Neurospora crassa OR74A: one gene and its partner. The protein of the gene in region 1 interacts with the protein of each later gene in a biochemical or structural test. Links are inferred from orthologs where the notes say so. Each region holds a gene or a part of one and is shown in the gene's direction. Other genes may lie near its edges.

Region 1 (3,808 bases):
GTCGGCGACTTTGTGAAGTTGTCGGACAGCTTGTGGTTCATCTCCATCTCGAAATTGTTCTTGGCGAGGTACTCGAGCAACTCCTGGCCAATGCGATTTTGGAATTGACGGTCTTTGAGGGGGCGCGGATCGCGAGGCACGCCGGCGGGCTGGGGCGCTTGCTGGAAGAAGCTCATATGCCCACCAGCTAAGGGACCTCCGCCGACGGCCGACGGTCGTGCGCTTGGGCGGTAGACGCTGCTTCGCCGGTCGAGTTCTTGCGATGATCGAGGAATACCGGAACTGCCTGGGGTGCCATAGGGCTTGAACTGCGACGTGTTCATGTTATGAACCGACGCGCGCTTTACCGAGCCCAGGCCAATGTCGGAGGATCGCTGGAACAGAGGTTGGCTCGGTCGCGGGAGGGCCAGAGATTGCCTCCCCGACAGAGAGCGACCATGGCCCGTTCCTATTGTGCCGATGGTGCTTTGTCGCTTAAGTGTGGAGGGTGGTGCCGGAATGCCCGACGTGAGGTTGACGCCATGGAGAGTCTACAGAGAGAGCAGAGTCAATATCGTGCATGGTCGCGTCGGATGGGGAGAGGTTTCGACCGAGGAAACACGCCGCAAAGAAAGTCACGGGGGGAAGTCGCACCTCCCTTGGCCGTCGAACACTCCAAAGGCCTGCGTTGCTGTCTTGCGACATGACGGCAAAGGCCTCGTCAATGTGCGCCTCCCTTTTGCCGTCCTAGTCGCGTGGTTTCCGTGATAATATATAAGCAAGCGAACAAAAGAGTGTTACACTACGTGCAACTGTGTCGGATCGATGTCGGCGATGATTCTCTTGGTGGTGATTATGTCGGATAGCTTTGTAGAGCTAAGGTATGCGCTCGAGTTAATGTGGGTACGTGTTCGCGGCTCTGACAGAAATCAATGCATAACCGCAGTCGCGGATTTCGTCGTGTCGTAGCGATAAAAGTACGTGTACGGCCAGCAACCTAATGCAGGCCAGCATAGGTATGTAGGTAGATTAAGACACCGTAGTGTAGACGGGACTAGGTTGTCGACTTCTGCGGATGGTGGGGGAGGTTGCTCCGTCAGGAAGAGTAAACAAAAGAAAGGCGACGTGGGTGGGGCTGTGGAAATCATTGGGCTGAACAGTGCCAAGTGCACTCCAGTTCTCGTCCCCAAGCATCGGGACGGCAGGTGAATGACGGGAGTGGGTCCAAAAGCGACCTTGAGGGTGAGTGTTGGCTCGCTTCAGGTCAGTGCTTTTTCAGCTCTGCACTCCCGTCTCTGAGCCAGTCACTGCATGGAATGGATGCTCAGCTGCGCTCTAGGCCTGTCGGAGGAAAAGGAGAGTCAGGGGAGGAGATAGTGATTTATCTGATCAGCATGCCTCCACGAGTGTGCTGGGGGTGCAAGTGATGCGAAGCTGTTAAGGTGCTATTAGCAGTCCACGTCTAGTGTACAATCAGGCCCCCGGTCCCGTGAACCTCGGCTTCAGGACTCCATCCAGCGGCCCAGCCATCCCCCGAACCGCTGCCAGTCAGTTCGTTTCCACTTCATCTATCGCATTCAGCCTCCCGTCCTTCGATAATCATTCCATCAACCGCCGCCGTCTGCCATCGCGTCGCGACTGTTTCAGCTGTCTGCTTCTTTCCTCTCGTCTGCCCAGTCTCAACAAGGGAACGCCATCTGCCGCATTTCGATCAAACAACATCAGTCATGGCCATCCGCGAGGACCTGGTCGCTTCGGCGGCGCAGTGTATGTTCTGCCCCTGTCTTGTCCCCTGCTACCTCCTCTACATTGCCAGGCCAGAATCTCACCCGACAACAACACCACAGTTCTTCAAGACCCCAGTGTCGCCGCCTCGCCAATCGAGAAGCGGATAGCCTTTCTCCAAGCAAAGAACCTCACCCAGGAAGAAGTCAGCGCTGCTCTCGCCCGCGCCGAATCAGGAGGTCCACCGCCACCGTACGCCCAGTCGCCCGCCTATGCGCAGTCGGCCGGACCCGTCGCAGCACAGGGTGGCTCTCCGCAGTACTATGGCTATCCCCCATACGCATGGCCGCAATCGAATACCGACGGTGTCAGGCGGGACTGGAGGGACCTGTTCATTTTGGCGACCGTAGTCGGAGGCGCGTCGTACGGCCTATACAATCTCGGCAAGGTAGGCCGCCGAACACCGTGCAATGTACATAAAAGGAAATTCTAACCGTTCGGCAGCGCTATGTGTATCCTTTGATTGCTCCTCCCACGCCGGAGCGTCTCGAGCAGGACAAGAAGTCCATCGACGAACAATTCGACAAAACATTCCAACTGGTTGAGCAGCTGGCCAAGGATACCGAAATCCTCAAGGCCTCGGAGCAGGAAAGGACAGAGAGACTCGACAATGCCCTCGAGGAGCTGGAGACTGTCGTCAGGGACCTCAAGGCAGCCAACAGACGCAGAGACGACGAAGCACAGAGAGTACGGGACGATGTGCAAAATCTCAGGGACTCGATTCCAAGGGCACTCAACAACCAGAAGGACTTGACCGACAACAGGCTGCGCGAACTCAATACCGAACTCAAGAGCCTCAAGACCCTCATCTCGCAACGCATGAACCCAACCGCCACCTCGACGAGCGTCAACAACTACCTTCGCCCCAATACTAACGGAAACGCCACTCCTTCTTCAGCCCCTGCCACGCCAGCCCTCGGCGGTGAGAACGGAGACTTAAACAGCAGAGCCGCGAGTGCGCAGGATGAGCAATCCAGATACCAGCAGGAACAGCAGTTCGCTCAACCTGCTGCCCCCAAGCCTTCGCCTTTCAGCAGCGGAATTGCCTCTGCAGGCAAGCCGACTATCCCTGCTTGGCAGTTGGCCATGGCCAACAAAACCGCGTCGGCTTCGACTGTCGGAGTCACGAACGGTACTACAAACGATGGCTCAAGCAGCAACGGAGGCGACGAAGCCGCTTAAAAAGCTGTTCTCCAGTCAGGCACAAAGATAAAATAGCACCGGAACTGGGAAACCTGGATACATTAATCGGCATGAGCATAAGGCCAAAGTGAGCGACTCCCTCTGGTTTTCTGTATAGTAATAAAGCTCCTGTACGTTGTTCAAGCAGGACAATACACAGGAGCACTTGTGAAGCATGGGACAACCTCATTCAGTCCCCTTTCCATGATAGCGCGTTTGTATTTCTGCAAGGTCTTTAAGCGCGGACGTTGCATGGCATTTTCCTAGAGCATGATATCAAAAGCTACCATTTTCACATCTTATAAGGTTAGGCCGTGAATTGATCTGAGACATCCCGTACACCTGACCGCCCAGTATTTCTGCCTCACTATTTTGACCGCTGCTATGGCATTGCCGAGACAAATTTTTGGTTATTGTCCTCAGCCACCCAAAAAAACTGGAGGGGAGGGGCAAAAAAAAAAAAAAGCCATGATCGAATAGAGATGCGCAAACGGTCAAAGAGGGACAACTGGCTTTGGTTATGTCGCCCTCTATTCAGGACTTTCAGCCACATCGGTACAGTCAGAACACCGCGGCCTCTGTAGAGAACTAAAGGATACATTGTAGTGTAGGTATTGATGTCGCTGCCAAATCATTACCTCAGCGTAGCATATGCGTACCCGAGAGGTCGGATGCGGAATATTCTCTGTTAAGACATCCCGGGTTCAAGGTACATACACCTTCGTGCCATGGTTCAGTTTCCAATCGCATCTAATAGTCCTCGTAGCTATTACTTGATCGGGCAATGCTTGCTTGGAACCAAACATTGACCCCACCCATCATCCCTTTCTTCCTGTGCCAATGTTCTCATAGCGCCTTCGTC
Region 2 (3,758 bases), on another chromosome or scaffold:
ACAGGTGATGAGTCCGGATGCGCTTCTGGATCTCGGTATTAACGGCGTCCTGCACCAACGGCCGCACTGTTTCCAGCTGAGGTGTCAGGCGGCGGATATCGGAGAGGCGCGCGCCGTTGTAGAAGTAGGCCGATTTTTGCTCGGCCAGCTCGTAATCGCTCCCGACAAAGAAGCAGGATGTGTGGGGGCTAGAGACTACGTTATCGAAGAGCTTGAACGTGGCTTTGCCGAAGGTCTTGGCTTCTTCCAAGAGTTCTACCAAGAGGCTGTTGGCGACCGAAGGGGGGAGGAAGTTGTGGATGACGGTGCAAGGGGTGTGGGTGCTGATGTCGGAGGGGTCGTAGAGATGGAGTGTTGCGCCTTTCCGGGAAAGGAGCTTGGGTTTCTTGGGGATAATACTAGCACCGCCATGGTCGCCATCGCCGGTGGTAGATGGAACGGCGAAAGAGCGTAAAGAAGCCTGTGAAATAATACCTGACGACTTCTTCTTGGCTATCTGCCCTGCGCCCTGGGCACTTTTCAAAGCCTCCGTGGTGGCTTCCACGGATCCATCGTGGGTGATTAGAAGATCCAGTAACGCATCATGACCGAAGTCTGGATGCAATGAAGCAAGTATGGCCAGTTTGATATCGGTTGATTCTCCATCGCCATCCGGAGTGTTGTCAATGGGATTATTGAAGGCGGTGATAGTCTGCTTTATTTGCGTGGTGTCCACGTTTTCCTCCAGCGTCAACTCGGCTTTCCTCTTCCCCCTCGTTATGAACCTGTCCATTGCCACGGCTTAGAGGAAGGAGTACAAAATCTCGACATGTTGGAGTGTCTGTTACCATGGCCGGGTTCACGCTGGTTAGATGCGCGTGGGATGAAAGATGAACATGGATTTGTATTTTCAGACGCGTCCTTGTTACGAAGAGGAAGGAGGGGGACGTGATTGAAAGTGGCCAAACACGCGCTGTCACGGGGACACGTCGGTACTTATTTCTAGTGTGCACTATATTTTACGTATCCTGGGGCGACGTCATGGGTAGGCGCTATCCCTTAGAGAGTTAGCGAGCACATCCATCCATGCTGTGGGGCTCACGCCGTTACGGCCCGGGGCTTCCACGCCCGCGGCAGGGGCAACGTGCCGACCAGATATGGATTGGATGCCAGGCGGGCTTCCGGGGTACCCCACTAATATCCAGATGTAAGCTGACAAGCCGAGGCTTTCCCCACGGCGTTGTCGCTGTTTGGCGTTCTTCAATTAGTTTCCAACCAGCTTTCCATCCCGTCACAGTAAGTTCTGCCAACACCTACACCCGACGCCCGTTTCAAACCCTACCGATACGTCCAAGCCGTCGCCGTCATTTCCAGGTGCAACGCCTCATCTCGCGACCGTCGCTGGCAGATTCATTAGGCTGTCAACCACTCACGTCGGCTAAGAGGTCGTGCGCCCATTGCAACGCCAACCTTTTTACAGAGACCTCCTGATGGGCAGCACATGACAAGCCCACGTTTCTCGACATGGCGTCCATGCTGGAATTTCGTACCCCGGGCTACAATCCTTACGCCGTCAAGTACTCCCCATACTACGACTCACGCCTTGCTGTCGCCACTGCCGCCAACTATGGCATCGTCGGCAACGGTCGCCTCTTCTGCCTGGGCCTGAGCGCAGCCGGCGTCCAGTGCGAAAAGACCTTTGAGACAAACGATGCCCAATACGATCTTGCCTGGTCGGAGCTCAACGAGAATCAGCTCATTGTCGCTTGCGGCGATGGCTCCATCAAGCTCTTCGACCTGGGGGTGGAGAACTTCCCTGTCATGAACTTTCACGAACACAAGCGGGAAACGTTTTCGGTTTGCTGGAATCCCGTCACCAAGGACAGCTTCATCTCGAGTTCCTGGGATGGCACCGTCAAAGTTGTATGTGCTCATCTCTTGTGTTCCTCCCACCCACCATCGTAGCATCATGGCCGATCGACTTGCGCGCTGGCTTACAATCCTCCTACTCTGTCTTCAGTGGTCTCCCACGCGCAACGCCTCCCTCAAGACCCTCCCCATTGGTTGCTGCACCTACAGCACCTCCTACTGCCCCTCGAACGCCGCCCTCGTCTCCGCCGTCTCCGCCGACTCTTCCCTGCGCATCTTCGACCTACGCACGCCCGTATCGGCCAAGTACCACCTGACCAACGTGATCCCCGTGCACGCGCCGGCCACGGGCGGGTCAGGTTACTCGCGCCTTGCCGACGGCTCCATCTACTCGGGCACGGTGCCGAACGAAGTCCTGACGCACGACTGGAACAAATATAACGACACGGTGATCGCCACGGCGGGCGTCGATCGCGTCATACGCACGTTTGATATCCGCAACCCGGCCGGCGGTCCCCTGGCGCTCATGACAGGCCACGAGTACGCGGTCCGCCGCGTTGCATGGAGCCCGCACGCCAGCGACATCTTGGTGAGCGCCAGCTACGACATGAGCGTGCGCGTGTGGACGGACGGATCCACTATGCCGCAGCACGTTCAGCCACCGGTACCGAGCGGGCGCCAGCCTGACACTGTCCGTGCGGGAACTCAGTTGGGCCTTATGAACAGGCATACTGAGTTTGTTACGGGCGTGGATTGGTGTTTGTTCGGTGCAGGCGGTTGGTGCGCGTCGGCCGGCTGGGACGAGAGAGTGCTACTCTGGGATGCTGCGTCCCTGTTGCGTGGATGAAGAAGCAGGTTGTTTGAAAGAGGTGGAAAAACGTATTTGAGTTGATTGGTCTTTGAGTGGATTGCTCAGGCAAATTTACGTGGCAAACTGCCTGATAGTAAAGGAGTAGAAGATATGAGGGCAAAATCAAGACCGATCGACTATCGGCTGCTGAGAATCATTGCATGCACAAAAGCGCCCCCTCAGTTGCGCAGCGATACCCCGGGGAGTTTGTACGTCTAGAAGCCGACATTATACGAACAGAACAGACATGGTGACAGCGGACAGGAGATTTGACCAAACGTGTTCCTTGGCTGGAGCTTACGAAAGTAGGAAATAAATCGGTACAGGAATTGGGTTAAATTGACCGTCCCGACGCGAGAGTCGGTCAGTACGAGAGAAGGGGCGGGAAAGAGACAGAACATAATTGTATAAGGCATCTAGAGGATTAGAAGAACAGTATACCATGATTCGAGATGATGGTAAGCTCAAATTTCTACCCTTAGTATCGCTATGCGTTGAGACGTGTGGTACCAGTGTATTAAAGGAATGCAGTCAACTTGAGTATACATATTTGTCCATGACTATCTCTCTTGAGTATTACCGATACAGCTGGTGTCTCACCATCCCAGTTTGTGCTGTAACATCCAATTTCTTCCATTTGGCTTGGATCTTCTCAATCTTATCTCTTGCACCCCTTCCACTTATAGAATTTCTCGAGGGGTTCCCCAATATGGCTACAGACTCAACATCCTCGGAAATTCACGTCCACTTTGGCTTTCCGCCTCCCTCCCTCCTAATCCCAATAGCCCTGATCAATGGTTCAAATAGTACCACGCCTACCACGCACAAGATCGAGTTCCACACCTGAATGGCATACCACACCCACGCTCCCGGACTCGAGAACACAAATTTGAGCCAGTCATTCACCTGGTAAAAGTCTTCCTGCTTGGTGATTAGGTACCGCTTGCTGTTGTTGCCTCCATTGAAACCGTCGACTAGAGTCTCTGCTTCCTCGCTTGCTCGAGCAGAAGCCACGGGGGCGTTCTCAACAGCAACAGGGTTGCTTGGGTTGGGCGGGTGA

Evidence for each region. The genes of interacting proteins can lie anywhere in the genome.
Region 2: the proteins of pex14 (region 1) and pex7 form a complex in vitro, tested with the Saccharomyces cerevisiae proteins (2 studies listed by BioGRID). The link is inferred for Neurospora crassa OR74A from reciprocal best matches to the Saccharomyces cerevisiae genes PEX14 and PEX7.

What each region holds. Positions count from the first base shown.
Region 1 is NC_026506.1:2,098,178-2,101,985, forward strand, and holds pex14 (peroxisomal membrane anchor protein), read left to right. Parts: upstream 1-1,292; 5' UTR 1,293-1,706; coding exon 1,707-1,746; intron 1,747-1,826; coding exon 1,827-2,152; intron 2,153-2,208; coding exon 2,209-2,946; 3' UTR 2,947-3,308; downstream 3,309-3,808. Other genes in the region: NCU03899 (HEC/Ndc80p family protein), read right to left, coding at 1-530, 634-684. UniProt on the Saccharomyces cerevisiae protein: Component of the PEX13-PEX14 docking complex, a translocon channel that specifically mediates the import of peroxisomal cargo proteins bound to PEX5 or PEX21 receptors.
Region 2 is NC_026504.1:2,329,020-2,332,777, forward strand, and holds pex7 (peroxisome biogenesis factor 7), read left to right. Parts: upstream 1-1,199; 5' UTR 1,200-1,503; coding exon 1,504-1,902; intron 1,903-1,999; coding exon 2,000-2,695; 3' UTR 2,696-3,258; downstream 3,259-3,758. Other genes in the region: NCU07663 (GRF zinc finger domain-containing protein), read right to left, coding at 1-772; NCU07661 (hypothetical protein), read right to left, coding at 3,437-3,758. UniProt on the Saccharomyces cerevisiae protein: Receptor required for the peroxisomal import of proteins containing a C-terminal PTS2-type peroxisomal targeting signal, such as 3-oxoacyl-CoA thiolase. Specifically binds to cargo proteins containing a PTS2 peroxisomal targeting signal in the cytosol.